Anolis sagrei: one gene and its partners. The protein of the gene in region 4 purifies or fractionates together with the protein of the main gene of each other region. This does not show direct contact. Links are inferred from orthologs where the notes say so. Each region holds a gene or a part of one and is shown on either strand. Other genes may lie near its edges. The genes, in order: BTRC, SNW1, NPM1 and HNRNPU.

Region 1 (7,220 bases), on a different chromosome or scaffold from region 4:
TCCGGGGAGAGCAGGTGGCGCTCCCTCTGTCAGCTCCAGCTCCCAATGCAGAAATATGAGAGAAGCCTCCCACAAGAATGCTAAAACATCAAACATCCGGGCATCCCCTGGGCAACGTCCTTGCAGATGACCAATTATCTCACACCAGAAGCAACTTACAGTTTCTCAAGTCACTCCTGACACACACACACACACATGGTTTTCCTTCAGTATATTTCCAATATTTGGACTTCTTTCCTCTCCTCTACCAAAACACAATAAAGCCCCATCATTCTAGTTCATTTTTTAATTTTTAAGAATGACCCAAGATGTCATTAATCTTGTTATTAGCCTGAGTGTATTAAGCTTATTTTAGAAAACCATCCACTTAAAAAAAATTAAAAACACACCAGCGTCTTTCATACTCTTTGGCTTTCCATTATTATCACCATAGGCTATTAGTCACGGTGGCAGTAGAGTCCTGGCGGTGGGTCCATAATGGGGTATAGTATGAGGCCTATTTTTAATGGTAACTCTCACGTAACCAAAAAGTACTTTGATGTGACATCTACAAATCCCTGAGAGTCTACTATACCAAGTATTGCGAAATCCCATCAGCTAACCCATCACCCCCTTTTGTTAGACCTTGAACATTTTTACTTCAACCTAGTTTAGTTTTTAAAATAATATGACCCAAGATTTCATTAACCTGATGTATTAGCCTAGGCCCTTTCCACACCTCTGAATAAAATCCCACATTATCTGCTCTGAACTGGGTTATATGGCAGTAGTTCAAAACAGTTACTGTGGGATTTTCTGCCTTGATTCTCTGGGGCCCCTTTCACACATCTGCATAAAATCCACATTATCTGCTTTGAACTAGGTTGATGAACAGGTTTACATTCTCACACTATTGCTTAGCCTCAACGTTTTATCATTGGAGTATATGCCCCCCCCCTTTGTGAAAAAGCCTGATTCCACAACCCCCACTATGAGTCCTCCTCCGCAAATAATCTGACTCTCTCTTATCTCGCCTGAGTTTTAATTAGTTTTAATCAGTCTCTCTTTTAATCATTATATGTAGCCCGCCCTTTGTCATTGTGATTGTGCCTATTGTAATTTTATATTGCTATATTTTCATATGTTTTATGTAATTATGTTGTTTGTTGTTTATTGTTTGCGTTTTCGGTTTTATTTTATTGTAATTTTCTGTTTGGGGTTGGCCTCATGTAAGCCGCTCCGAGTCCCCAATGGGGAGATGGTGGCGGGGTATAAATAAAGTTTATTATTATATGGCAGTGTAGACTCAGATAACCCAGTTCAAAGCGGTTATTGTGGGATTTTCTGCCTTGATATTCTAGGGCCCCTTCCACACAGCTGCATAAAATCCCACATTATCTGCTTTGAACTGGGTTATATGGCAATGTGAACTCAGATAACCCAGTTCAAAGCAGTTATTGTGGATTATCTCCCTTGATATTCTATTTTATATGCCTGTGTGGAATGGCCCTGGGTGTATTAACCTTGTTTTAGAACAAATACAGCCCTCCACTTAAAAAACAACAACCATAAAAACCATCACCTGCATAATTCATACTGTCACCAAGAACCCTCTTATGTTTTATGTAATTATGTTGTTTGTTGTTTATTGTTTGCGTTTTCGGTTTTATTTTATTGTAATTTTCTGTTTGGGGTTGGCCTCATGTAAGCCGCTCCGAGTCCCCATTGGGGAGATGGTGGCGGGGTATAAATAAAGATTATTATTATTATTATTATTATTATATGGCAGTGTGGACTCAGATAACCCAGTTCAAAGCAGTTATTGCGGGATTTTCTGCCTTGATATTCTGGGGCCCCTTCCACACAGCTGCATAAAATCCCACATTATTTGCTTTGAAAGGGGTTATATCGCAGTGTGGACTTATTGCGAGATTTTCTGCCTTGATATTCTAGGGCCCCTTCCACACAGCTGCATAAAATCCCACATTATCTGCTTTGAACTGGGTTATATGGCAGTGTGGACTCAGATAACCCAGTTCAAAGAAGTTATTTTGGATTATCTGCCTTGATAATCTATTTTATACTAGCCGTCCCTGCCACGAATTTCTGTGGTACAGTTGGTGTATATGTTTTGTGTGTGTATAAATATGCATATTTGTGTATATGTGTATATATGTGGTTTTGCACATGCGTTGTAATGTATTGGGGGGGGGGCTTTTTAAGTCTCTTCCACTGTGTTTTTCAGTGTTTTTATGAGTGATGGTCATTTGTTGACCTGATAGTTGTATTGTGTCCAAATTTGGTGTCAATTCATCCAGTAGCTTTTGAGTTACATGAATCCCACAAACGAACATTACATTTTTATTTATATAGATGGCTGTGTGGAAGGGCCCTGGCTTAGAACAAATACAGCCCTCCACTTAAAAACAAACAAAGATAAACCCATCACCTGCATCATTCAAAGTCTGTCACCAAGAACCCTCTTCAAAGCCAAAGGAATGCTAAATCCCATCAGCTGCTGCATCATTCCCTCTTCTCAGGCCTTGACTACTTTTCCTTCACTAGCTTCCCAATCGTTGTCCTTCTTCCTCCTCCAACCAGCCACTGATACCACAAAGCCTCCATCATTGCAGTTTAGAGCCTTGTTGTTGAATTTAAAAAACACATATTAAAGATTCTTGGAAACAGGTAGGGAAGAGCTATGGCGGGCTTACCCCCCTTCCTTCTCCTCCAGCCACTACCTCATTTCGCAGGTACCCCGGGTTGCCAGGGAAACCTCTCAGCCCGTATCGCCTCCCTCCTCCTCCTCTTCTTCTTCGCCATTCACTTCCTCCCTCCGCCACAAACCCTCCCTCTCTCTTCCTCCTCACCATGAACTTGAGGGCCTTCTCCTGCACCACCGCCTCGGCCGGGTCCATCGCCCCTCTCCTCTGCCGCTGCTCCCCCGCCAGCTCCGGGCCTGAGGCCTGGGCCTAGGCCGCCCCCGCTCTCCCTCCCTTTCCCTCAGTGCAAGGCCGCAGACAGCGCAGCGGCAAACAGGAAGCCCCTGCTTTCCTCCCGCTCGGCTCACTGGGAAATGTAGTCCCAGGCCCGTTTACCGAGCAGATTCCGGCACCGCTATTGGACTACACTTCCCAACAAGCCCTGCGACAGGGGATACGCTGAGCAGGCCGCCTCTTGGAGGAGGAGAGAATAGGCGCTGAGGGAAGTGAGAGCGTGTGCTCGCAAGGGCTGATGGGAGCTGTAGTTCTGACTTGAGCCTCGACCTCTAATAGGGACTTGTAAACTCTGTCACAAAACAGAGGGAGAAAATGTGGAGGCTGTGTCAGAGTTTGTATTTCTAGGTGCAAAGATTACAGCAGATGCAGACTGTGGCCAGGAAATCAGAAGACGCTTACTTCTTGGAAGGAGAGCAATGACCAATCAGGATAAAATAGTGAAGAGTAGAGACATCAGACTGGCAACAAAGATCCGCCTAGTCAAAGCCATGGTATTCCCTGTAGTCACCTACGGATGTGAGAGCTGGACCTTAGGGAAGGCTGAGCGAAGGAAGATCGATGCTTTTGAGCTGTGGTGTTGGAGGAAAGTGCTGAGAGTGCCTTGGACTGCGAGAAGATCCAACCAGCCCATCCTCCAGGAAATAAAGCCCGACTGCTCATTGGAGGGAAGGATACTAGAGACAAAGTTGAAGTACTTTGGCCACATCATGAGGAGACAGCAAAGCCTGGAGAAGACAATTATGCTGGGGAAAGTGGAAGGCAAAAGGAAGAGGGGCCGACCAAGGGCAAGATGGATGGATGGCATCCTTGAAGTGACTGGACTGACCTTGAAGGAGCTGCGGGTGGTGATGGCCGACAGGGAGCTCTGGCGTGGGCTTGTCCATGAGGTCACGAAGAGTCGGAGACGACTGAACGAATGAACAAGAACAACAAAACTCTGTCACGATTTGCTCCTTTCAATGCTTCCCAAACTTTAATCCTCTAGGTGTTTAGACTTCAACTCCCAGAAGCCTCGGCTGCCTTGGCCAATGGTCAGAGATTCTGGGAGCTGAAATCCCAAACTCATTGGGCCCTTCCACACAGCCCAATATCCTACCTAGAACATCGAGGCAGAAAATCCCAGAATATCTGCTTTGAACTGGGTTATCTGAGTCCACACTCAGGTCATGTGGGTTTTCCTACCTTAATATTCTGGGCTAGAGGGCTGTGTGGAAGGGCCCTTAGAGGACTTTGGCTTTATTTATATATTTATTTATTTACAGTATTTATATATATTAAATAAATATGGCAGTGTGGACTCAAATAATCTAGATGAAAACAGATATTGTGAGGGTTTTTTTTTTTTTTTGCCTTGATATTCTGGGGCCTCTTCCACACAGCTGAATAAAATCCCACATTTTCTGCTTTGAACTGGAATATATGGCAGTGTGGGATCAGAACCCTTACAGACAGCCATACAACCCAGAATATAAAGGCAGGAAATCTCACAATATCTGCTTTGAACTGGAATATATGGCGGCGTGGGCTCAAATAACCCAGTTCAAAGCAGATAATGTGGGATTTAATTTTTTTTGCCTTGATATTCTGGGTTATATGGAAGGGCCCTGTGTTTGGGAAACAATCTACAGCAGTGATTCCCAAACTTTGTACAGATTTTGAGGCTTCATATCCCAAATTTCCTGACTAAGCGCCCTTCCAGATAGGCCCTATATGCCAGTATCTGATCCGAGGTTTTCTGCTTTAAACTGGATTATATGACTCCCCACTGCCAGATAATCTGGGAAAAACATAAAACCTGGGATCAGGTCCTGGGATATAGGGCCTGTCTGGAAGGGCTTTAAGGCTTAAGGGAGCTGAAGTCCCAAACTACTGCATGACTCACGTTTGGTAACCATGGAACTACAGTGCAGTTTGACACCACTTTAGCTGCCTTGGCTCAATGTATGGAATAATGGGAGTTGTAGCTTTACAAGAGCTGTATGTGGCCTCCTTGGTGCCTCTCTATGATTCCATAGCATTGAGCCATGACTGTTACAATGGTGCCAAACTGCATTAATTCTACAATATAGACCAGACATGGGCAAACTTTGGCCCTCCCGGGATTTTGGATTCCAACTCCCAGAAATCCCAGCTAGTTAGGAATTGTGGGAGTTGAAATCCAAAACACCTGGAGGGACAAACTTTGCTCATGCTTGGTATGGACGCACCCTAAGTCCTTGTTTTAGATGTACTTGTAATTTAAATTTTAGTAGTGGAGAATATGACAGCAAAGAATGAGAAGAAAGTCATGTTAACCAAACGACAGAAAGAAGGAAAGAGTGCCAACAGCCAAAATAACCACAGCTGATTATAAGTGAATGTAAGCATCCACATTTCGTACCTTGTTTCATGTAGCAGGTGTCTTTGGAGAGCATAGGGACAAATGTGAGGGCAACCACGTACTCATTGGTTGGTCTTAGGCAGGCTACTTATCTTTCTTATAGACTCACCCCACTTGCCAAATCATAATAAAATGGGCATGTTATAAAAGCCCCCCCCTCCATAATGAACAAGATAGCCTCTCATTAAATGATGTTGCTTCCAAAATCATTACAATCTGTCTCTCTTAAATTATTATCAGTTCACTTTGATATCTTCAAAATGTATTATTTCTTTAATTCCAGGACTCATAACTTTTGTGAGCCTCGTAGCAGTACATCAGTTTTAGAAGATTAGTTGTTGGTTTATATTATCTTAACTGGATAAACTGAGAGGGATGTAGTAGTTAAAATAATTTACACAGTCATCTACTGCATCCTTCACATTCCTTCCATTCCCTACACAATGATGTTGTTGTGTTACCTGGCAAACATGAAGCCAAGATTTATGTGAATCCAACTGATTCAGGACTTGCAACTAGATGGAAGTCATCAAGTATATGAGAAATTCTGGCTATTCAATAATCATTATGGAAAGAGTATGTTTATAAGCTTTTCTTATTACTTAAACACAACAGCGTAACTTTACTGAGTGTTCTGCTTATCCAAAGTCCTCTTAAGAGTTTCAGGCCCCAGGTAGGAACACCTGCTGCTTCCCCAGAGGAATAGAATATCTACCATGTTATCTAGAAGCAGCTGTAACTGTCTGGTCAGGATGGATTAAGGTATGCTAGTGCTGAAATGATCACATGGAACATCTGTGGCAACAGCGAGTCCTCCTTGGATTAATCTAGGGATGCATCTGTAATGACAGGCAAACAGAAGAATGTGTGCTGTATAATGAGACATGAAAAATCCAAGATGTGTTCTGCGTTAAAAATAATAATTCCAAATACAGTAGACTTGCAGTTAACCAGAACCCAAGGAAACAACAACAAAATAGAATAATAATTCATTCCCAAACCTGTTTTTATAATACAGTAAAACTGTGTTGCATTGAGTTATATTTGTCTTTATTTGCTTTTAATTACGGCATTTCAATATTAATATGAAGTCAAGTGTATGCTATGGTACAGCTAGGCCTATTTTAAATACTTACGCTCAAGCAACCAGAAGTTACATTTATCCGCATCTAACAATCTCCATGGGTGCCAGTTAAATAAGCACTATATATGTATTCCCTTTCTTGCTTTTCCCTATATTTGTATTTAGGAAGCACCCCCCTCTACCCCCCTCCACACACACACACACGTAGATTGTGTATTTGGAAAACTTTGCTTTTCTGCTTACAGATTAAAAGGAAACTGAAAAGCTTATTTTTAATTTAAATTTTCTACCTTCAAGGACTTCTTCCTACCTCAACTCATCTGCCAAGGAATCCCCCTCCCAATACACACTGATTTTACTGCAGCAAATTCTCAGTTCATGTTGAAAACTTATTAGAGGATTTTTGTCATCTACTGTGAACTTGCACAACAAAATGCATTATGTGACATATTCAACACTCCCCAACAGTTTTGCATTGCAGGAGAGGAAATATGAAGGTCAAGTTGTCTTTCAGGTTAACTTGTCCACCTTCTCATTGAAGTTCTCCAGACATACTTGAAAACATTTCTAGAGTACTAGGAATACAACTTGAAAACTGTGGCGCTAGAATATAATAATAATAATAATAATAATAATAATAATTATTATTATTATTATTTGAAACACAACAAGATGAGTCCACAGCAGACACTCTGCTGGCTGTTGTATTGGATCAGGCATTGGACACTTCCCAAGTGTCTAGGACTGTGTGATGTATTGGTGAATAATGAGTGCAGAT
Region 2 (7,794 bases), about 250 Mb from region 4:
AAGGCATTTTGCTTGACTTCTAGATATACAGGAAAAAATGGATGAGCAGAAAGTGCTCTCTTCAGACTGGTTTTTCAGGGCCATGTACTGTCCTTATGGACATGACCTGTGACTATTACTAGCGTCTACACTCATAGATTCTTGTGGGTAACACACCCTACAGAAAAAGTGGCTCCCTTGAAACCATTACTGCAGAGCTGGTATTGAACAGGGAGATAAGTTCCACATCTTAGGACTGTATTTCTGACGTAATCTTTTTACCTTTAGACTGCGACTCTGGAGACCTGGGTTTGAATCCCTACACATCCATGGCAGCACACTGGCTGACCTTGGTTAAGCCCCTCTCTCAACCTTTGAGGAAGTCAAAGGCAAATCCCATCTGAACAAATCTAGTCAAAAACACCCTTGCTTGGATCACCTTAGGGATGCCACAAGCCAGCAATAGTTTTGGCACCTTGAAGAGAAAGTGAGACAACTGTCCTCTCTAAAGATGAGGACAAGAAAGAACTGACAATGAGTTTCCAAGGGGGCATCTACACTGGAGAACTGATGCACTTTGGCACCACTTTAGCTCCCACAGCTCAGTGCTAAGGAATCCTGGGAGTTGTATTTTCAGCTATCTGTGCCAAATTGCAAATCCCAGAAGTCAACTGCCTTCTTAGGATGCCTCTACACCAGACATGGGATAACTTTGGCCCTTGAGGTGTTTTGAACTTCAGTTCTCATCAATGAACACCATAAAGCAGGCATGGGTGAACTTCACCCCTCCAGGTGTTTTGGACTTCAAGTCCCACAAATCCTAACACTCTAGGCTGTTAGAAATTGTGAGAGTTGAAGTCCAAAACACCTGGAAGACCAAAGTTTGCCCATGCCTGCTCCACGCTGTGGGAATAATGCAGTTTGACACCACTTTTGTTGCCATGGGTCAATGTTAACAAAAGAAATTGTGCGATGTGTTGTTTGATGAGGCAAAGGCGAAGAAAATCTTGTAGAACTACAAGACACACTGGACGAAAGCATTCATATTGTGGCCCTCAGAGGCCCCTTCCACACTGCGCCTAGATCCCAAGGGAACCACTTTTTCTGTAGGGTGTGTTACCCACATGAATCTATGAGTGTAGGTGCTAGTAATAGTCACAGGTCATGTCCATAAGGACAGTACATGGCCCTGAAAAACCAGCCTGAAGAGAGCGCTTTCTGCTCATCCATTTTTCCTGTATATCTGGAAGTCCTGTTTAAGGAGCTCCATTGGCTGCTGTTCATTTCCTGGTCCCAATTCAAGGTGCAGGTGCTCACCTACAAAGCCCTAAAAGGTTTGGGACCCGCCTACCTGCGTGACCGCATCTCCATATATGAACCCACACGATCCCTCCGTTCATCTGGAGAGGCCCTGCTCACGATTCCACCTGCGTCGCAAGCACGTTTGGTGGGGACGAGGGACAGGGCCTTCTCTGTGGTAGCCCCCCCCCCCGACTCTGGAACTCTCTCCCCAAGGACATCAGACAAGCCCCAACGTTGGCAGTCTTTAGGAAGAGCTTGAAGACCTGGCTGTTCCAGTGTGCCTTTCCAGAATAGAAAACTCCCAGCATCATGTCCCAAGCACACTTTACCAGAGATGATTGCCTGTACATCGCACCTAACCTAAAATCCTTACATTTCACCTGTCATGTCCAGCACTTTTAATTTATTCATTACATTTGGCCCGGCCCTAGTTTTAATTGTGTCATGATGTATTGTTTGATGTTTTACTGTTATTGCTTTAATGTTTATTGGTTTGCTTTATGAGTTTTATTGTTGCATTTGTTATGCTGTTGTTTTATTGAGGGCCTTGGCCTTTGTAAGCCGCACCGAGTCCTTCGGGAGATGTTAGCGGGGTACAAATAAAGTTAATAATAATAATAAGTCAGGCAAAATACCTTTTCTGATCCTAGATTATCTGCTTTAAACTGGGTTATATGAGTCTCCACTGCAAGATAATCTAGGATCAGATCCTGCAATATTGGGGTGGTGTGTTGTTGTTCATTCGTTCAGTCGTCTCCAACTCTTCGTGACCTCATGGACCAGCCTACGCCAGAGCTCCCTGTCGGCCGTCACCACCCCCAGCTCCTTCAAGGTCAGTCCAGTCACTTCAAGGATGCCATCCATCCATCTTGTCCTTGGTCAGCCCCTCTTCCTTTTGCCTTCCACTTTCCCCAGCATAATTGTCTTCTCTAGGCTTTCCTGTCTCCTCATGATGTGGCCAAAGTACTTCAACTTTGTCTCTAGTATCCTTCCCTCCAATGAGCATTCGGGCTTTATTTCCTGGAGGATGGACTGATTGGATCTTCTCGCAGTCCAAGGCACTCTCAGCACTTTCCTCCAGCACCTCCAGGAGGAGGAAAGTGGGGTGGTGTGGAAGGGGCCAAAGAGGCCAAGCAAGGCATGGGCTAACTTCCGCCCTCCAGGTGTTCTGGACAGCTGTTAGGAATTATGGGAGTTGAAGTCTAAAACATGGGGGGGGGGGCAAAGTTTGCCCATGCCAACCCAACCCCACTTCAGGTTACAACTGGAACCATTTCAGGTTACAATTTCACAATGGCCCCCTGCCTATCTTTACTGAACACCAAGGCCTTCCCTTCTTTGTTTCTGGAGGGCCAGCCTCCCACGCAAACAAGACAATTTTTCACTTTAGGAAGCGGTCTGAAATAATGAAAGGCCGCCCACTAGAATACTATTAATACCGACTTTTAGGGGAGAATGCCCGTTGCGGCCTAGGCCTCCCTCGAGGCTTTTCCCCTCCACCGAAACCCGCTCACACTCCACGGAAATCAATTACAACCAGAGACTTTCCCGTAAAAGGCTCAGGGAACGGGGTGGCTATCGGCTTCCAATTTCTGATAAGCTCCCGCTTCGCAGCGACAAAACTCACCTGGTCAGCGCCATCTTGCCGCTCTCCTTCTTCCTCCACCTTTGAGGGCCGGGCGCTGAACGAGAAGCCTCGACGGAACTGGCCCGGAAGCCAGGGGCATGCTGGGAATTGTAGTGTTACAGGCGGAGAGGAACGCTCGCGACATGTTTGCGCATGCGCCGCCCTCAGAGCGGGATGTGGTGGCTTGAAGGAGCAGAACAACAACTGGATTCAACACTCAGTTTGGTACAGAGTGGAACTTATTAGCCAAACATTCAGACTCAAGTGGCAAGATTTAAATGATCAGCAAGGAAAGAAAGCCTTTATAAGGACCATTTTGGAGTATGGAAGATATGGATTACTATGACAGTAATGAGAATGGATGTTGCCAACAGATGGAAACAAGTAGATGGGCCCAAAGGATTGCTTAGACCAGGCCTGGGCAAACTTGGGCCTTCCAGACGTTTTGGACTTCAACTCCCACAATTCCTAACAGCCTCAGGCCCTCAAGGAAGGCCCAAGTTTGCCCGGGCCTGGTTGTTAGGAATTGTGGGAGTTGAAGTCCAAAACGCCTGGAAGGCCCAAGTTTGCCCAGGCCTGGTTGAGACGCTTGTATTTTACATTCTCTGCAGTATAGATTGTGTATCTCTTATTGTGCAGGTACAACTGCACCAGGAGCTCCAATTTTGTTTGCTTTCCATTTAATGTTTGTTATAGTTCCAAGTTTCAGGGACTCTGCAGATTTGTTGTTCAGTCGTTCAGTCATCTCCGACTCTTCGTGACCTCATGGACCAGCCCACGCCAGAGCTCCCTGTCGGCCGTCACCACCCCCAGCTCCTTCAAGGTCAGTCCAGTCACTTCAAGGATCCATCCATCTTGCCCTTGGTTGGCCCCTCTTCCTTTTACTTTCCACTTTCCCCAGCATAATTGTCTTCTCTAGGCTTTGCTGTCTCCTCATGATGTGGCCAAAGTACTTCAACTTTGTCTCTAATATCCTTCCCTCCAATGAGCAGTCAAGCTTTATTTCCTGGAGGATTGATTGGTTGGATCTTCTCGCAGTCCAAGGCACTCTCAGAACTCTCCTCCAACACCACAGTTCAAAAGCATTGATCCTCCTTCGCTCAGCCCTCCCCAAGGTCCAGCTCTCACATCCGTAGGTTACTACAGGGAATACCATGGCTTTGACTATGCGGATCTTTGTTGCCAGTCTGATGTCTCTACTCTTTATTATTTTATCGAAACTGGACATTGCTCTCCTCCCAAGAAGTAAGCGTCTTCTGATTTCCTGGCCACAGTCTGTATCTGCAATAATCTTTGCGCCTAGAAATACAAAGTCTGTCACGGCCTCCACATTTTCTCCCTCTATTTTCCAGTTGTCAATCATTCTTGTTTTGTTTCATTTGCACCTTATATACGTATCTTAAAGGTAATTTTATACACAACTCAAAGAACCACTGGTGGGTTAAACCGCTGAGCTGCTGAACTTGTTAACCGAATGGTCGTAGGTTCGAATCCAGGAAGTGGTGTGAGCTCTTGCTGTTAGCCCCAGCTTCTGCCAACCTAGCAAAAAAGGGTGGCTTTTTCAGTTCAAAACCCCTTCAATTAATTTAAGTTGGATAGTGCAGGGTATGTGTGCCACGTTTGGTCCAAATCTATCAAGCCATGTAGGAGCCTTTGTGGTACAAACCAACTAGCCAACATCCATACACAGACACACACACACACGATTAGATAAATAGGAGCCCTCAGTGGCAAAGCAGGTTAAACTGCTGAGCTGCTGAACCTGCTGATCAAAAATTAAGTTCAAATTCGAGGAGCAGGGTGAGCTCCCACTGTTAGCTCCAGCTTCTGCCAATCTAATAGTTCGAAAACATGCAAATATGCGTAGATCAATAGGTACCACTTCGACTGGAAGGTAACGGCACTCCATACAGTCATGCCAGCCACATGACCCTGGAGGTGTCTATGGACAACACTGGCTCTTCGGCTTAGAAATGGAGATGAGCACCACCCCTCAGAGTTGGACATAACTAGACCTAATGTCAGGGGAAAACCTTTACCTTTACCTAGGGTATATACATGGCACTGCCTGAGTTTGCATTTTCTTTTGTGGCTCTTTTCTTCCTTTCCTTAATACACAGTATTTCTTTGTTTCTTTCCTTCTTCCCATGCTTTTCCTTAAAATATCTACCTCCTCTTCTTTTTCTGTACTCTGCCTTTCTTTTTCTCCCCTTCCCTCACTTCTTTTGTTCCTTTTCCCTTTTTTTCTTTCCTTTTTTTTCTTTCTTCCATCCCTTTCCCCATTTCTTCTCCCATCTTTTGTCCTTCCTTTTGTTGGAAATGACAGTTTTCTTCAAGCCTTCTCTAGTAATGTTTATCAATGATCCTGTTGTTTCCTGTTTCCTGTATGTATGCTCTGGTATGCAGCTTCCTTTACTCTATGGTTCCTGAGAAGTTATAAGAGGGGCTGCAGACCACAGGCTCTCTTCCTCTCCTTTTTGACTACTATGTGACCTGTTGACAGTTATTTTTGTTACAAGAGAGATGCCCTGGTTGACTGGCACAGGGAACCATCTCAGACATATCTGAAACTGGACTGATAAGTTTTATCGCTATGTATGCTGAACACATGAATGTTGTGAGTAAACCAAATATGTTATTTTATCAAATAATAATAATAAACCTTTATTTGTATACCGCTCTATCTCCCCAAGGGGACTCAGGGCGGTTTCCATCATGGTAAAGCATTGCAATTACCAACATAAAAACATACAGAAGGGCATTATAAAAAGTATAAACATAGTACTATATAACAATCGTACATATTTAAAATTTAAAAGCCAGTTCAGTACTAATTACAGCGGACAGCTCAGCTTCCAAAGGCCAAGATTCCAAAGTGGGCCTCGACAACTATTTTTCTTATATTGCTGAGATAAAAGGAAAGCTGGTCTGTGATTATTTCTTCTGCTGAGGTAAAATGAAAGCTGTTTTGTGATAGGTTATTTCTTTTACTGCTGAGGCAAAAGGAAAGCTGTACAGCAATTGGTTGCTAGAGCTTAGATTTCATTTCTTATACTGCTGAGGTAAAATAAAAGTTAGGCTGTGAGTGGTTGATTTGGGCATCACAGATTCCTTTGTCTACTCCCGGACTACTTGTTTTACTCTAAATACACGTGTGTATTCAAATGCAACATTGTGTCAAAATTTCATTTTACTCTAAAAACACGTGCGTATTGGAATGTAACCTTGTGTCGAAATGTCAAGTCAATCGGCCGACTACTTTTTGAGTTTTGCGAGCTCAAACATCTGCAGGCTGAGATTTTATATATAAAGACTTTATAAAATTTTGTAATGAATATTGTACATAAAGGCACATTTAGGAAATTAAGCGAATGCTGATCTCTGTGTTACTACATATTTTGTTCACTGTAATTGCTTACAAATAAACTGGTTGTAGAAAATTTGCATAATTTTCCAGAATATCTTTTCACTAGGAAACTGGACCGTGAACCTTTTCCCAAGGCAGGGATGTGCATAACAGGCTTATTAGTCCCTAGAACAGTGGTTCTCAACCTGGGGTCCCTAGATGTTTTTGTCCTACAACCCCCAGAAATCCCAGCCTGTTTGACAGATTTTAGGATTTCTGGGAGTTGAAGGCCAAAAACATCTGGGGACCCCAGGTTGAGAGCCACTGCCCTAGAACTAGTGTATCTCCATTGACAGTGTTACTGCTCAGTAAAATTCTCTTTTTCGTGGTGTTTTCTTCTAGAGAATATATTTAAACTTTTTCAGAATCTGTTTATCATTATCGTAATTACACCAGTGTGGCTTTAGAAAAGAAATCAGCTCTATCTTCCTGGAATGGTGATGTTTGTCATTATTTTTCTTTCTAGTGATAGGGAGGCCTGAGTTAGAAGCCAGCTGTACAGGAAGCTTCGGCTTTCGCACCTGCAAATGTTTTCCCTTGTCATCAACACTTCCATTGTTCCTAATGAGCCCATTTATCCTTGATTATTGACAGTGGTGGCAGAGAAGATTTTGGAAATATCACAGCTTATTGAGAATGTTGATACTTGATAACAGGTCTTGAATATAATATAGTTTATGTGAGAAACTAATCAGGGTCACAAGCATTATGTAAGAAAGACTTATTGTTACATGACTTCAAGCCATTTCCGATTTATGGTGACCCTAAAATTACTGGTTTTTTATTGCAATATTTATTCTGAAAGGGTTTGCTGTTTTTTTGTTTTTGTCTTTGGAGTGAGAATGTGACTTGCCCAAAGTCACCCATTGGATTTCCATAGCTGAGCGAGAATTCGAATTCAGGTCTCGAGTCATACTCCAACACTCAAACCGCTACACTATGCTGGCTAATGGAGCTCAGTGGCCAAAATTGTCTGTCTTTGTGACCTGAATCTTGTTTGCATCATAGATTCATTGTGTATAATGGGAAGGATATCATAGAATTATATCCACCATTCCAGGAGTCTAGCTATGACCCTACAACGTTCCATGGATAGGGGTTTGTAGCTTAGGGAGGAGCCTTTAACGTTTAAAGTGGATTCATTTTCTAGTTTGATGACGTCTTTTGACACTACTAACTTCCATAGCTCAATGCTATGGAATCCTGGAGTTTGAAGTTCTATCTATAGGGTCTTAAGCAGCCATGGGCAAACTTTGGCCCTCCAGGTCGACTTCATAATAATAATAATAATAATCACCATCATCATCACCATCATCATCATCTTTATTTATATCCTGCCCCCTCTTTCTGGAATACAATAAATACAATAAATAATATAACATAGACAATAATTACATATCAATTAAATACATAATTAAGAAAATAAATAATTATTTATCAATTAGTAAAAACAACGTAACACAATGCTGTAAATGTAAAT
Region 3 (6,957 bases), about 87 Mb from region 4:
ATTCCTTCAAGATATGGGGGTTCTGTGCGGGAATTTTGGTCTAATTCTATCATTGATGGGGTTCAGAATTCTCTTTGATTCACATTTGGGCATACTGGCATATTTGTGCCAAGTTTGGTCCAGATCTATCATTGCTTGAGTCCACAGTGCTCTCTGGATGTAGGTGAACTACAACTCCCAAACTCAAGATCAATACTCACCAAATCCTTCTAGTATTTTCTGTTGGTCATGGGAGTTCTGTGTGCCAAGTGTGGTTCAGTTCCATCGTTGGTGGAGTTCAGAATGCTCTTTGATTGTAGGTGAACTATCAAGCCCATCAATCACAACTCCCAAATGACAAAATCAGTGCCTCCCCCAACCCTACCAGTATTCAAATTTGCGTGTATTGGATACTTGCATCAAATTTGCTCCTGTAAATGAAAATACATCCTGCATGAGTCCCTCTATGGAGGTAGAGAAGATTAGGATATAAAAGTTTTAAGTAAATAATAAATATATATTAGATATTTACATTATGATTCATAACAGTAGCAAGATTGCGGTTATGAAGTAGCAACGAAAATAATTTAATGGTTTGGGGTCACCACAACATGAGGAAATATATTAAGGGGTTGTGGCATTAGGAAGGTTGAGAAACTTTAGTTTACATTTAGTCCCTGAGGGTTAACGTGTCAAGTCTCAATATCCAATCCATTTTTTTAAAACAGAGCCCTCACATTATCTGGGAGAAATGTTTCTCAAGCACCAAATGGGCTTCTAAAGTAAAGAAATGACTACTGAAGGCCCCTTCCACACATCTGAATAAAATCCCACATTATCTGCTTTGAACTGGAATATGTGGAAGTGTGGACTCAGATAACCCAGTTCAAAGCAGGTATTGTGGGATTCTCTGACTTGGTATTCTGGCTTTATATTGTGTGGAAGGGCCCTAAATTAGTGCTTACCAGGTCTCCCCTAGGGGTCTTGGGGTGCATCTACACTGTTGAATTAATGCAGTTTGAGACTTGCTGCTATGGACTTATGGGAGTTGGAATTTGGAAAGGCAATAGCCCTTCTTGGCCCCTTCCACACAGCTGTATGAAATCCACACTGAACTGGATTATTATATGGCAGTGAGGACTCAGATAATCCAGCTCAAAGCAGATATTGTGAATGATATTCTGGGTTATATGGCTGTGTAGAAGTGCTCTTTGTCAGAGAGGTCTAAAGACCTTGTAAAACTGCAACTTCCATGATTCCACAGCACTGAGTCATGGCAGTTCATATTGTGTCAAACAGCATTAATTCTGAAGTGTGATTAATACCACAAGGCCCCTTCCACGCAGTTAAGTAAAATCCCACATCTGCTGTGAATTGGGTTATATGGCAGTGTGGACTCGGCGCCCTTCCACACAGCCATATAACTCAGAATATCAAAGTGGAAAATCCCACAATACCTGATTTGAACTGGGTTATCTGAGTCCACACTGCCATATAACCCACTTCAAAGCATGTGTGGGATTTTATCCAGCTGTACAGAAGGGCCCTCAGATAGCCCACTTCAAAGCAAAGGGACAAAACAATCTTCAGGCGGGGGGGGGGGGGGGGCTTTTATTTTATCATCTCACCGCTGCCACCAATTGAAATGGAAAGCAGGGCAATCTTCAGGTAGGGTGGATCATTTCTTCCATCATCCCACCGCTGCCACCAATTGAAACAAAGTAGGGCACTCTTCAGGCAGGGGGGTCTTTTATTTTATCATCCCACCGCTGTCACCAATTGAAACGAGCAACCACTTCAGCAGGGTGGACCTTTACTTTGTTATCCCACCATTTGTGTCCCTTTAAGTTGGAGGTGAGAGGTTGACAGACTTTGCTTAAATTGAAACAGTAACTGTTAAGTTTATTTGCATTGTTGTGACAAAGGCGTGCTGGTTTGCAAGAGTATAAATGCTTGTTAGTTACAAAAATGTGAATATTCCTTTATGAAGATGATACATTCCAGCCTTTTCTTTTTCCCAAAAGGACTTTTTATATTAACACAAGAAAACTGATTTCTAACTGCCTTGAACCTGACATAGAGATCCTGACCACTCGGTCCTTTAAAACCTCTCTACTGTCATTAGCCTCCTGGTATCAGTCAACTACCCTAGGTATCCCCTAGCTAATTTTCCAGCTGCCTCCAGCTGCTTACTTACTTAGGCGATCCCTCGTAGTCCAAGGATGATGGTCCTCCAAGTGTAGTGTCCTGGCAGTGGGTCTGTAGGTGACTGTGGAGCCCTATTCTTGATCTGCATCTTCTTTCGCAGTGAGGGCATTGGTTTCCAGGTGGAAGGCGGTCCCGGTCGGGGTTGGCTTGATGCGCCTTCCTCTTGGCACGTTTCTCTCTTTCACCTTCCATTCGTGCCTCTTCAAATTCTACAGCACTGCTGGTAATGGCTGACCTCCACCTGGAGTGCTCAAGGGCCAGGGCTTCCCAGTTCTCAGTGTCTATGCCAGAGTTTTTAAATTGGCTTTGAGCCCATCTTTGAATCTCTTTTCCTGTCCACCAACATTCCGTTTTCCATTCTTGAGTTCGGAATAGAGCAATTGCTTTGGGAGACGGAGGTCGGGCATCCAGACAATGTGGCCGGTCCAGTGGAGTTGATGGCAGAGGACCATCGCTTCAATGCTGGTGGTCTTTACTTCTTCCAGCACGTTGACATTTGTCCGCTTGTCTTCCCAAGAGATTTGCAGGAATTTTCGGAGGCAGCACTGATGGAATGGTTCCAGGAGTTGCATGTGACATCTGTAGACTGTCCACGTCTTGCAGGCACATAACAGGGTTGGGAGGACAATAGCTTTATAAACAAGCACTTTGGTATCCCTACGTATGTCCCAGTCCTCAAACACTCTCTGCTTCATTCGGAAAAAAGCTGCACTCGCAGAGCTCAGGCAGTGTTGTATTTTGATGTCAATGCCGAATTTTGTGGAGAGATAGCTGCCAAGGTAGCCGAAATGGTCAACATTTTCTAATGTTACACCATTAAGTTGTATTTCTGGCATTGGAGAGGGATTGGCTGGTGACTGCTGGCAGAGCACTTTAGTTTTCTCAATGTTTAATGACAGGCTGAGCTTCTTGTAAGCTTCTGCGAAGGTGTTTAGAGTGGCTTGTAGGTCATCTTCTGAATGTGCACAGACGTTGTCATCAGCATAACTAACTCAGACTCCAGCTAACTCACCAACTGACCCTTTTCAAACCAACATTCTTTTCTCCATTGGCAGTTGGCTCCGCCCCTTTCTTTTCTGCCTGGAAGCTATGTTGCTATGGCAATGCCTAGGCCTGAGGCCACCAATCAGCTGACAATAATAAACATACCTAAAACCTACATTTTAATTATACATTTTGTTACACCTGCCTTGATATTGTGGGTTATATGGCTGTGTGGAAGGGCCCTCAGATAACCCAGTTCAAATCAGATGTTGTGGATGACATGCCTTGACATTGTGGGCTAGATTACTGTGTGGAAGGGCCTCTTAGTCAGCTGCCAGAAAACAACATCAACTAAGAAAGCTATTAGGGCCCTTCCACACAGCCCTCTAACCCAGAACATCAAGGCAGATCATCCACAATATCTGCTTTGAACTGGGTTAGCCGAGTCCACACTGCCGTATGAGCCAGTTCAATGTGGGACTTTATATTGCTGCGTGAAAGGGCCCCTAGAGGAGGAATGGAGCGATACAAGGCGCCGCCATCTTGCTCGGTGGGCTGCTGCGCGTCTTCTCGCTCTCTCAAGAGACGCACAAGGTGGAAGTTGGGACGCGCATGCGCGGAGCAGAGGGCTCCTTCGCTCCCTTTTTGGCCCCCGCTTGCCTGGCGACCGCGTGCGCCCCTTCCGAGCACGCTCGCGCCTGCGCACCCAGCCAGCGGATGGGCCAGAGCATCACTTCTCGCGAGACCTACGAGGGCTATATATTGGGGGAAGGGAAAAGAGGCGGGCCCTTTTCTGCGGGTGCGCTAATTCCGTCCGTTAGACCCAGCAAGCGCCCTTCGGCTGAGGAGAGAGAGAGAGACGACGCTGTTGAGGAGATGGAAGACACCGACATGGACAGCATGGGCTCCCTTCGGCCACAGACCTTCCTCTTCGGTAACCATCCCGCGCCCCCCCTCACGCTGCCTTCCCTGGCTCGCCATGAGGCCTTCCCACGTGGCTTGGGCCTCCCTTAACCTCGGGGTCTTGCGGGCCTCCTTTGTCCTCCCTTCGTCCTCAGGCTGGACGGGAAAGGGAATCTGCCGCCACCTCATGAGGCTTGGGCCTAGCCGTCTTCCATGTGGCCTGTGGAGCGAGAAGGAAGGCCCCAAGCCTCTCGGCCCCGAATCTAGCCCGAATCAAGCTCTTCTTTACTTGATTCTCCCTCTGCAATAGGATCCGTGCGCCTTGGGGCATGATTATTATCGAGAAGGCGAGCTCGCTGCCTCTCCTAGGTTAGGATTTCAAAGCAAGATGGGGCTCCCTTCCAACTCCATTATTGCTCCATCTCAGAAAAAGCCACAGGACCCCCTATATCCCAGAATATCTGCCTTGAACTGGGTTATCCATACTGCCATATATTCCAGTTCAAAGCAGAACATGTGGGATTTTATTCAGCTGTGTGGAAGGGGCCCAGCCTCCTGCAAGAATCATGCAAGGCCTCAGGCCACTTCCACACCACTCTATATCCCACTATCTAATTCCAGATTATCTACTTTGAATAGGATTATTACTATTATTATGCTTATAATAATAATAATAATAATTCCTGCAAGAATCATGGATAGAATCATAGAGTTGGAAGAGACCTCATGGGCCATCCAGTCCAACCCTCTGCCAAGAAGCAGGAATATTGCATTCAAAGCACCCCCAAAAGATGGCCATCCGGCCTCTGTTTAAAAGCATCCAAAGAGGGACCCTCCACCACACTCCGGGGCAGAGAGTTCCACTGCTGAACGGCTCTCACAGTCAAGAAGTTCTTCCTCATGTTCAGATGGAATCTCCTGCTAGGCCTTAGGCCACTTCCACTCCACCCTATATCCCACAATCTAATCCCAGATTATCTACTTTGAATAGAATCATAGAATCAAAGAGTTGGAAGAGACCTCATGGGCCATCCAGTCCAACCCCCTGCCAAGAAGCAGGAATATTGCATTCAAATCACCCCTGACAAATGGCCATCCAGCCTCTGCTTAAAAGCTTCCAAAGAAGGAGCCTCCACCACACTCCGGGGCAGAGAGTTCCACTGCTGAATGGCTCTCACAGTCAGGAAGTTCTTCCTAATGTTCAGATGGAATCTCCTCTCTTGTAGTTTGAAGCCATTGTTCCGCGTCCTAGTCTCCAAGGAAGCAGAAAACAAGCTTGCTCCCTCCTCCCTGTGGCTTCCTCTCACATATTTATACATGGCTATCATATCTCCTCTCAGCCTTCTCTTCTTCAGGCTAAACATGCCCAGTTCCCTAAGCCGCTCCTCATAGGGCTTGTTCTCCAGACCCTTGATCATTTTAGTCGCCCTCCTCTGGACACATTCCAGCTTGTCAATATCTCTCTTGAATTGTGGTGCCCAGAATTGGACACAATATTCCAGATGTGGTCTAACCAAAGCAGAATAGAGGGGTAGTATTATTACTATTACTATGTTTATTTTATACCCCACTTTCTCTCTCCAGAAGATGACTCCAAAGTGGCTTAGTTTTTCCATGCATTTTAAACTCTACAAACATTAAAATGGAATTGAGTAATATCATTGCTATCTCTTTTATGTCCACATCTTTGTTTTCAGGATTGTTCATTATTTAGTTTGTCAGAAGTGACTTGAGAATGTAATAATATATAAAAAACCCCACAAAGTTAAAAACTGGGACTTATCCCAAAATTCCTTTGACCAGAAGTTGGCCACTTGGAATGTCTCTTGTATCGCTGTAAGTAGGTCCTCTATTGTACATGTGACAGGGCTCAGATTGCGTTGTAGTGAGTGGTCTGTGGCTTGCTCTTCTCCACACATGCATGCCATGGACTCCACTTTGTAGCCCAATTTGTTAAGGTTGGCTCGGCATATCGTGGTGTCAGAGAGCATTCTGTTTAGTGTCTTCCAAGTCACCCAACTTTCTGAGTTTCTCTTCTGTTCCCAGCCACTGATTGAGGTTCCAGGTTTTAGCCTGCCACTTTTGGACGCTCGCTTGCTGAGGTTCCAGCGAGTATCTCTGTAGTTATTAGGAAGCTGTTTCTTTATTTAAGATGCTGGCTGATATCTGAACAGAGGATGGGCATGCATATTCAGCAGCGACTTTCATTATTATTATTATTATTATTATTATGTTTATATCTTGTTTTTTCTCTCCATACGGAGACTCGGAGCGGTGCACAACTAAAAGCAACTAAAGCATTGAAATACAACTTAAAATACAAAATACACACATATTAAATACAAAATACACACTTATTAAGCAACATTAATATTAAAAAACAGGTTAAAGCCTTAAAAGTATATAAAATCACAGCAGCCATTTATGGGTTAGTGCTGTACAAGATGTGCCTCTTTGTCTTCTGAGGCTGGATATATACTGCCGTATAATGCCGTTTTAATCTTCATTATATGGCCAGTATAGCTGCAATATGTGAGTCTACACTGACCATGTGATGCAAATTCAGACTGCATTCTATAGCAGTATACATCCAGCCTCTGAGCAGTGCTTTGAATCCCTGGTCCCATAAAAAGTACAGGTATTTTGAGCCTCCATTATCAGAATTCCCCAAATACTCCCAAAATTGTCCTCATGGCTGAGAGTGACTCCTTCACTTTCTGGTGGGTCAGTGTACCCAAACTTGGTCTCATGCTCAAAATTATTAAAACTGATTTGTATAAATTTACCTTGAGGCTTTGTATATAGGCCACATCAGTGGCCTATATACTGTGTATAGAGGTTGAGTCTCCTTTGTCCAGAGCAACTCTGGTTGTTCATACATGA
Region 4 (7,134 bases):
TACTGGAATTTTCTATTCTGAATTGCCCAGTAATGAAACTTCCTATTTCTAACTTTGGATTTAGGCCTCTTGATAAAACAATATGGTATCATGCTTTTGTTTCTTAAAATCATTCTGTGCTTTCAAGTCATTAATGACTTGTGGAAATCCTAATGAAAATGAATGCATCACTGGGCTTTTCTGGTAAATACTCTATTGAAGCGAGTTTGCCTTTGCCACCTTCTGGGGCTTCTAGAGTATACAACTTGCTCAAGGTTACCCAATGGGTTTCCAGGGTCAAGACTTCAAACCCCTGTTCTATAGAGTAACTCCACACCTGCCATTTTTTCCACATACTTGACAGAATTCTAGTTTTTTAAAAATGTGCAAAGCTCAGAATTTAAGATATTTGCATTACAGATGGAATCCTACCAGCACGTAACACCAGAAAAGACAAGATAAAATCTGCTGTTTTCAGGCAACTTATTTTTTCAACAGCTCTTTTGGAAAAGTACAGAATGGAAATCTGGTTTGACAATATACATTCTTCATTTCATGCTTTGCCTTTTAGACCTAGTATGACTTTTACACTAGTATGAACAGACTAATGCAGGCAGGGGAAAACTTTGGCCCACCTGGTGTTTTGGACTTCAACTCCCACAATTCCTAACAGCCTCGGGCCCTTTCCTTTTCCCCTTCAGCCACTCAAGCTTAAGCAGCTGAGGGGGAAAAGGGCCTGAGGTCGTTAGGAATTGTGGGAGTTGAAGTCCAGGAGGGCCAAAGTTTTCCCCTGCCTGCTCTAATGTGACTAAAAGCAGGCTAACATCCGAAAATATTAAGTATATGAACTACAGCTGAAATTATGCCTGCTATGATCATATTATCCATATATACAAATATATAAAAGCAACTGTTGAATACATTACAGTTGTCATCCTGAAAAATGTATTTGAAGAGACAAGAACACTTCTTTTGTACTTACAAGTATCAAGACAAACCACTGTGTCATCGAAGTGTTCATCCTCTTCTTCAACTGGTGGCTGCGGAGATTTGGCCCTAACCAATAAAAGAAATCGCTTGAATACAATCCATCAATAGGGATTTTAAAAATGAAAAATAGATATTATATATGAACTAAAAATACATATTTTATATATATAATGTATGTATGTGTATATATATACACACACACAATTAAAATATATGTATGTATATGAATATATAAAAAAATATATGGATATATGTATATCAAGAATTGTGTATTACTATATTTACCTGCTGTATTTATTCTCCTCAATATACTCAAAGTAACCTCGTCCATGGTCTTCACGTGGCCTTTTCACTCCCCTTTTTTTCTCTCCGGATTTTTGCTCAGATTTGGCTTCTTTATTATCTTTTTGCGGGAGGGGGAAAAAAGGGAACGTTGGAAGCCATACAATTAAGTCACGCAAACAACAGACAAAATGAGTTGCTCCAAGTTTTCCGGATGTATGGCCATGTTCCAGAAGCATTCTCTCCTGACATTTCGCCTGCATCTATGGCAGGCATGGCTGTGAGACCATAGATTAAGGCGAAACGCCAGAAGAGAATGCTTCTGGAACATGGCCATACTACCCAAAAACCTTAGGGATTCCGGTCATGAAAGCCTTCGACAAGACAGAAAATCAAATCCCGCGTGGCGTCAGGGCGCCCTCTAGCGGGGGCTTCCGGCAGGCGCTGCCTCTCCCTGGACTCCCCCGCCTCCTTTTGTGCTCAAGGTTTGAACCAGAGCCCGCAGCGCCTCACGGGCGGAAGTGACGCAAGCGGCAGAAAGCGCTCCCTCCTCGCAGGGCTCCACAGCGCGCCCCAGCGGCTCCTGCGCGCTGCGCTCTCTCTCCTTCCCCCCCACCCTGCGCGCGCGAAATGGCGGAAGCCCCTCCCCCATCCCACCACCACCATTACAGGCGCCTCTTGGCGCGCGAGGCCTAGATTTCCCCCCCTTTCTCTTCTTCACAGAAACAGGAGGGAAAGGGGGGGAAAACCAAGATGGCGCCTCGCCCTGACCCCGCTCCGAGGCGCCAACCGCCGACGCCCATCCGGGCCCCACGCACGACTCACCCGCAGGACGCGGCGCGGCCCCTCCGGGCTTGGGCTGTTGGGCCTGCTGCTGCTGCTGAGGCGCCGCCGCCGGCTGCGATTGCGACTGAGCCCCGGACGAGGCCTGCTTGGCGCCGGTCTGGGCCGAAGGCGCCGGAGCCGCGGAGGCCTCGGGCGCGGCTGCCTTGGCGCCGGGAGCCTCCTTGGCCCCGTGGCCGTTGGCATTGCCGCCCCCGGTCCCGCTGCCGGCCGGCGCGGCGGCTGAGGCGGCCTCGTCCTCCTCGTCCTCGCCCTCCTGGAAGCCCTGGTCGTCGCCGTTCTCGTCCTCGTCCTCCTCCTCCAAGTCCTCCTCCCGGGCGGCGGCCCGCTCGCCGTTCTCCTCGCCCACCTCCATGCCCTCCTCCTCGTCGTCCTCCTCCTCCGCGCAGCCGCCGAACTCGGCCTCCTCCTCCTCGTCGTCGTAGGCCGCGGCCTGGCCGGGCCCGCCGCCTGCTGCCGGGGCCAGGAGTTGCTCCGAGGCGCCGCCCGCCGCGCCGCCCTCCTCCTCCTCGGCGTTGCCGTTGCCCGGCTCGGCCAGGCCTCCGCCGCCGGCCTCCTCGCGGTCCAGCGCCGTCTGGAGCCGCTCCATCAGGTCGGCCTTGAGGCCTTTGTCGGAGAGGCGCCGCTTCTTCAGCTCCTCGCGGAGCTCCGACACCTTCAGCTTCTTCACGTTCACCGGCGAGCTGCTCATGGCGATAGCGGCGAGGGCCTCTCCGTGGGCGGCGGGGGCTCTAGCGGAGTGCGGCCTGGACGTCGGCGGCTGGCCCGGATCACCTTCCTCGGGGGCTGCGGAGAAGGAAGGAAGCAAGCAAGGAAGGAAGGAAAGACCCGCCTGGCGCCAAATCCTTTCAGCAAGGCTCGCGAGGCAGGGGCCGGGGACGCGCCTCGCGGGGTCGAGCACGCAACGCCACGCTGCCCCGCCCCCGCCCCGCGCCTTATATGGCCTAGCCACGCCCCTTCGCGCTCCCGCTCTCCCTCTCTCCCCCTCCTCTCTCTCTCCCTCCCTCCCACCCGCGCCGCTACCGTAAGTGCAGGCCCTGGCGCAGCATTACCGTAAGTGCGCAGCCAAAGCCTTCAGGCCTTATCATAGAATCAAAGAGTTGGAAGAGACCTCATGGGCCATCCAGTCCAACCCCCTGCCAAGAAGCAGGAACATTGCATTCAAATCACCCCTGACAGATGGCCACCCAGCCTCTGTTTAAAAGCTTCCAAAGAAGGAGCTTCCACCACATTCCGGGGCAGAGAGTTCCACTGCTGAACGTCTCTCACAGTCAGGAAGTTCTTCCTCATGTTCAGATGGAATCTCCTCTCTTGTAGTTTGAAGCCATTGTTCCGCGTCCTATTCTCCAAGGAAGCAGAAAACAAGTTCGCTCCCTCTTCACATATTTTTATACATAGCTATCATATCTCCTCTCAGCCTTCTCTTCTTCAGGCTAAACATACCCAGCTCTTTAAGCCGCTCCTCATAGGGCTTGTTCTCCAGACCCTTTATCATTTTAATTGCCCTCCTCTGGACACATTCCAGCTTGTCAACATCTCTCTTGAATTGTGGTGCCCAGAATTGGACACAACAGAAACCCCTTAACAAGGGGTGCATTTACACTGTAGAATTAATGCAGTTTGGCACCACGTAAATGCCAGGGCTCAATGCTTTGGCTTTGTGGGAGCTGTAGTTTTACAAGATCTTTTCTGCCAAAGGGGTCATTCCATGCCAAGTGGTCTAAACCAGGGGTCCTCAGACTCTTTAAACAGGGGGCCAGGTCACATTCCCTTAAACTGTTGGAGGGCCGGATTATAATTTGAAAAAAAAAAAAGAATTCCTATGCACACGGCACACATCTTATTTGTAGTGCAAAAAAAACTTTAAAACAATACAATAATTAAAATGAACAATTTTAACAAATAGAAATATATTAGTATTTCAATGGGAAGTGTGGGGCTGCTTTTGGCCGATCAGATAGGATTGTTGTTGTTGCATGCTTTCAAGGCATTTCAGACGTGGTTGACCCTGAGCGAGGGCCGGGTAAACAGTCTTGGAGGGTCGTATTTGGCCCTCGGGCCTTAATTTGAGGACCCCTGGTCTAAATCTTCTCACCACCACTCGGAGCGGCTCACAGAAACACCCCAAGTGCTTATAAACAACAGTACATAGGTAGTATATAAAGTGAGATAAATATTAAAGCAACAATGCACATAAAAACCCAACTGATAAGATTATAAAAATTGTAAAAGATTATAAAATTTTCTAAACCACAGTAGAATCTGCAAATAAAGCTGGCTATTTGCCGTAACAAATCAAAGTGCAGAGTGACTCGATCCTCGAGCTGATCATAGATTATACAGGGTCAAAGGCCTGTCTGAAAAGCCATGTTTTTGAACTCGAGTGGGGGCCAATCTAATTTCTTTAGGGAGGGGACATCAAAAAATTAAAATAGACAGATTATACCGTACTACCAGCAAAAAATAGCAAGAACTTGGAATGAATATTGCAGAAAATCAAGGACAAAAGTGCAAAGGCAAATTTACAGTTGAACATGGAGCAAACTAAAAATAATGACAACTATATAACTTAGAAATAAGCAAAGACATTGAAATAAAGATTCTCCATACTTTGGCTCGGTCGATATTCAGGATGGCGCCTGCAGTCAAGAAATCAGAAGAAGACAGCTATGAAGGAACTTCTGATGTGTAAAATAGATCATTGTATCTTAGGACTGACCATGGGATTGTATTCCCCACTTCTATGTACAGTTGTGAAAACTGAAGAATGAAGGGCGCTGAACAGTGGGTAAACTGATAGGAAGAATATCATTCCGTTTTAAAAGTGCAGAAGAAAAATTCTGTGGACACCATGGATTGCTAAAAAGACAAATCAATGACCCATAGAAGAAATCAAGCCTGAACTCTCGCTCGATGAATAAACGGAAACCATTTTGGTCATATCATGAAAAGGCATGGCTCACTAAAAAAGACAATAATGCTTGTTAAGTTAGAAGGCAATAGGAAAAAGCGGACAGTATTCCAGATAGGTTCTTACTAAAGGAAGCCACAGTCCTGAGTCAGCAAGATTTTAAAAAGGAGGCTGGCAATAGAGGGACTTGAGGTCAAAGTCAAAATTGACTGACGGCAGTTAAGAACAGCAACTCTATGCCAGCTCTCAGGACTCTTCTTCAAATTTCAAATGTGTTGATTTTCTTCCTATCAGGCTTAAGAACCATTTTGATCTGGATTATTCTGACTTTGATGTTTAATAATACATCTTTAGGCTTGAGGGTCTTATCAAGTTCCTTCACGGCCACACTTCCAAGTCTTCTGGTTTATTGGCAGCATTCCTCATTTTGATTAATGATTGAGCAAAGGTGTGGAGAATAATCTGCGTCTTCATAGTATTCAATTGTCACGTTGCTTTTGAACTTCTTTCATTTTCATCAGTATTTTCTAAAAGTCTTCGCTATTTTCTGCAAGTGAATGTGGTGTCATAGAACCGTAATTTCTCATGGTGTGTGTACACACACGCACATATAAAGCCCCATTTAGCCTGGACACAACAATCCAGTATTCACTTGCATTCTGCAAGAAAAATCATGCTGATGTACTAGGTCACATAAACAGCCCAAGTACACCCAATCCTTTATTCTCTTCCCACAATAGGCAACTAGATTTAAAATGATTGTGGGAACTTGTGTTCTTCAGCCATTAATATACAGAGGCTTACTTGCTTATTGCCAGTAGGGACAGAATTTCATCTATACTGACAATTGTGCTATCACCACTCAAGCTTTAATAGGCAGTAAGAGTGCCTAAAGCTTCCCAAAGCTTTAGGCACTCTTACTGCCTATTACAAAGAAACCCAGCTGATTCCTACTCCACCTAAAACACAGACATGTGCTTTTCATCTTAAGAACTGACAAGCATCTCGAGCTCAGGATTACCTGGGAATGAATCCCACTGGAGCACTGCAGCACACCCAAATACCTGGAAGTTAGTCTGGACTGTGCTCTGACTTAGAAAAAGCACTGCTTGACTATCAAGCAAAAAGTGGGTGCTAGAAACAATATCATATGAAATCTGACTGGCATAACCTGGGGATCACAACCAGATACAGTTAAGACATCTGCCCTTGCGCTTTGCTACTCTACTGCTGAGTTCGCATGCCCAGTATGGAATACATCTCACCCTGTTAAAACAGTGGATGTGGCTCTTAATGAGACATGCCACATTATCACAGGACATGTATGCCCAACACTGTTGGAGAAATTATATTGTTTAGCCGGTATTGCACCACCTGATATCCACCAGGAACTAGCAGCCAGCAGTTAAAGTACCAAGGCATTGACATCTCCAGCCCATCACCTGTTTGGATATCAGCCAGCAAGCCAACGTCTTAAATCAAGAAACAGCTTCCTAAGATCTACAGATACTTGCAGGAAAACCTCAGCAAGCGAGAGTCCAGAAGTGGCAGGTTAAAATGCAGCACCTCAAGCAGTGGCTGATACCAGATGAGAAACTCCCTCCTGGGCACAGAGAAGACTGGGTGACTGGGAAGGCACTGAACAGATTGTGCTCTGGCACCACGAGATGCAGACCCAACCTTAAGGAATGGGGCTACAAAGAGGAGTCCATGAAATGCAAGTGTGGAAAAGAGCAAACCACAGACTACCTTCTACAATGCAGTATGAGCCCTGCCACATGCACAATGGAGGACCTCCTTACAGCCACATGCGAGACATTCCAAGTGGTCAGCTTCTAGTCAAAGGAAATCTAGCATAATGCCAAGTTTTAAATTTGTGTTTTTTATACATTATAACTGTATTCTCAATTTGCTTCTGACACGATAAATAAATGCTTGCTTTCTGTTCTGGAAATAATATACAAAATATCTCCTATCACAAAGGTGCTGATGGCTTCTAAGTCATTGTCCCCTTTAAAGTGATTTGGGTCACCACAACCATGCTCTGTGTTTAACTCAGTGCACTGTGAAGAATTGAGACTAGGTCTGTGCTAACATTGAAATCCAAGGTAAAGTGATCCAGAACAATC

Evidence for each region.
Region 1: the proteins of HNRNPU (region 4) and BTRC purify together in Homo sapiens (affinity purification with mass spectrometry; 6 studies listed by BioGRID and IntAct, with this or other methods). This does not show direct contact. The link is inferred for Anolis sagrei from reciprocal best matches to the Homo sapiens genes HNRNPU and BTRC.
Region 2: the proteins of HNRNPU (region 4) and SNW1 purify together in Homo sapiens (affinity purification with mass spectrometry; 3 studies listed by BioGRID and IntAct, with this or other methods). This does not show direct contact. The link is inferred for Anolis sagrei from reciprocal best matches to the Homo sapiens genes HNRNPU and SNW1.
Region 3: the proteins of HNRNPU (region 4) and NPM1 purify together in Homo sapiens (affinity purification with mass spectrometry; 3 studies listed by BioGRID and IntAct, with this or other methods). This does not show direct contact. The link is inferred for Anolis sagrei from reciprocal best matches to the Homo sapiens genes HNRNPU and NPM1.

Annotation. Positions count from the first base shown.
Region 1 is NC_090023.1:216,207,656-216,214,875, reverse strand, and holds the start of BTRC (F-box/WD repeat-containing protein 1A), read right to left. Parts: upstream 3,012-7,220; 5' UTR 2,898-3,011; coding exon 2,850-2,897; intron 2,771-2,849; exon of another isoform or gene 2,694-2,770; intron 1-2,693. UniProt on the Homo sapiens protein: Substrate recognition component of a SCF (SKP1-CUL1-F-box protein) E3 ubiquitin-protein ligase complex which mediates the ubiquitination and subsequent proteasomal degradation of target proteins. Recognizes and binds to phosphorylated target proteins.
Region 2 is NC_090021.1:307,230,617-307,238,410, forward strand, and holds the start of SNW1 (SNW domain-containing protein 1), read right to left. Parts: upstream 3,014-7,794; 5' UTR 2,923-3,013; coding exon 2,909-2,922; intron 1-2,908. UniProt on the Homo sapiens protein: Involved in pre-mRNA splicing as component of the spliceosome. As a component of the minor spliceosome, involved in the splicing of U12-type introns in pre-mRNAs.
Region 3 is NC_090021.1:142,281,751-142,288,707, reverse strand, and holds the start of NPM1 (nucleophosmin), read left to right. Parts: upstream 1-3,944; 5' UTR 3,945-4,047; coding exon 4,048-4,105; intron 4,106-6,957. UniProt on the Homo sapiens protein: Involved in diverse cellular processes such as ribosome biogenesis, centrosome duplication, protein chaperoning, histone assembly, cell proliferation, and regulation of tumor suppressors p53/TP53 and ARF.
Region 4 is NC_090021.1:54,920,929-54,928,062, reverse strand, and holds the start of HNRNPU (heterogeneous nuclear ribonucleoprotein U), read right to left. Parts: upstream 3,003-7,134; 5' UTR 2,786-3,002; coding exon 2,077-2,785; intron 1,373-2,076; coding exon 1,255-1,372; intron 1,036-1,254; coding exon 962-1,035; intron 1-961. UniProt on the Homo sapiens protein: DNA- and RNA-binding protein involved in several cellular processes such as nuclear chromatin organization, telomere-length regulation, transcription, mRNA alternative splicing and stability, Xist-mediated transcriptional silencing and mitotic cell progression.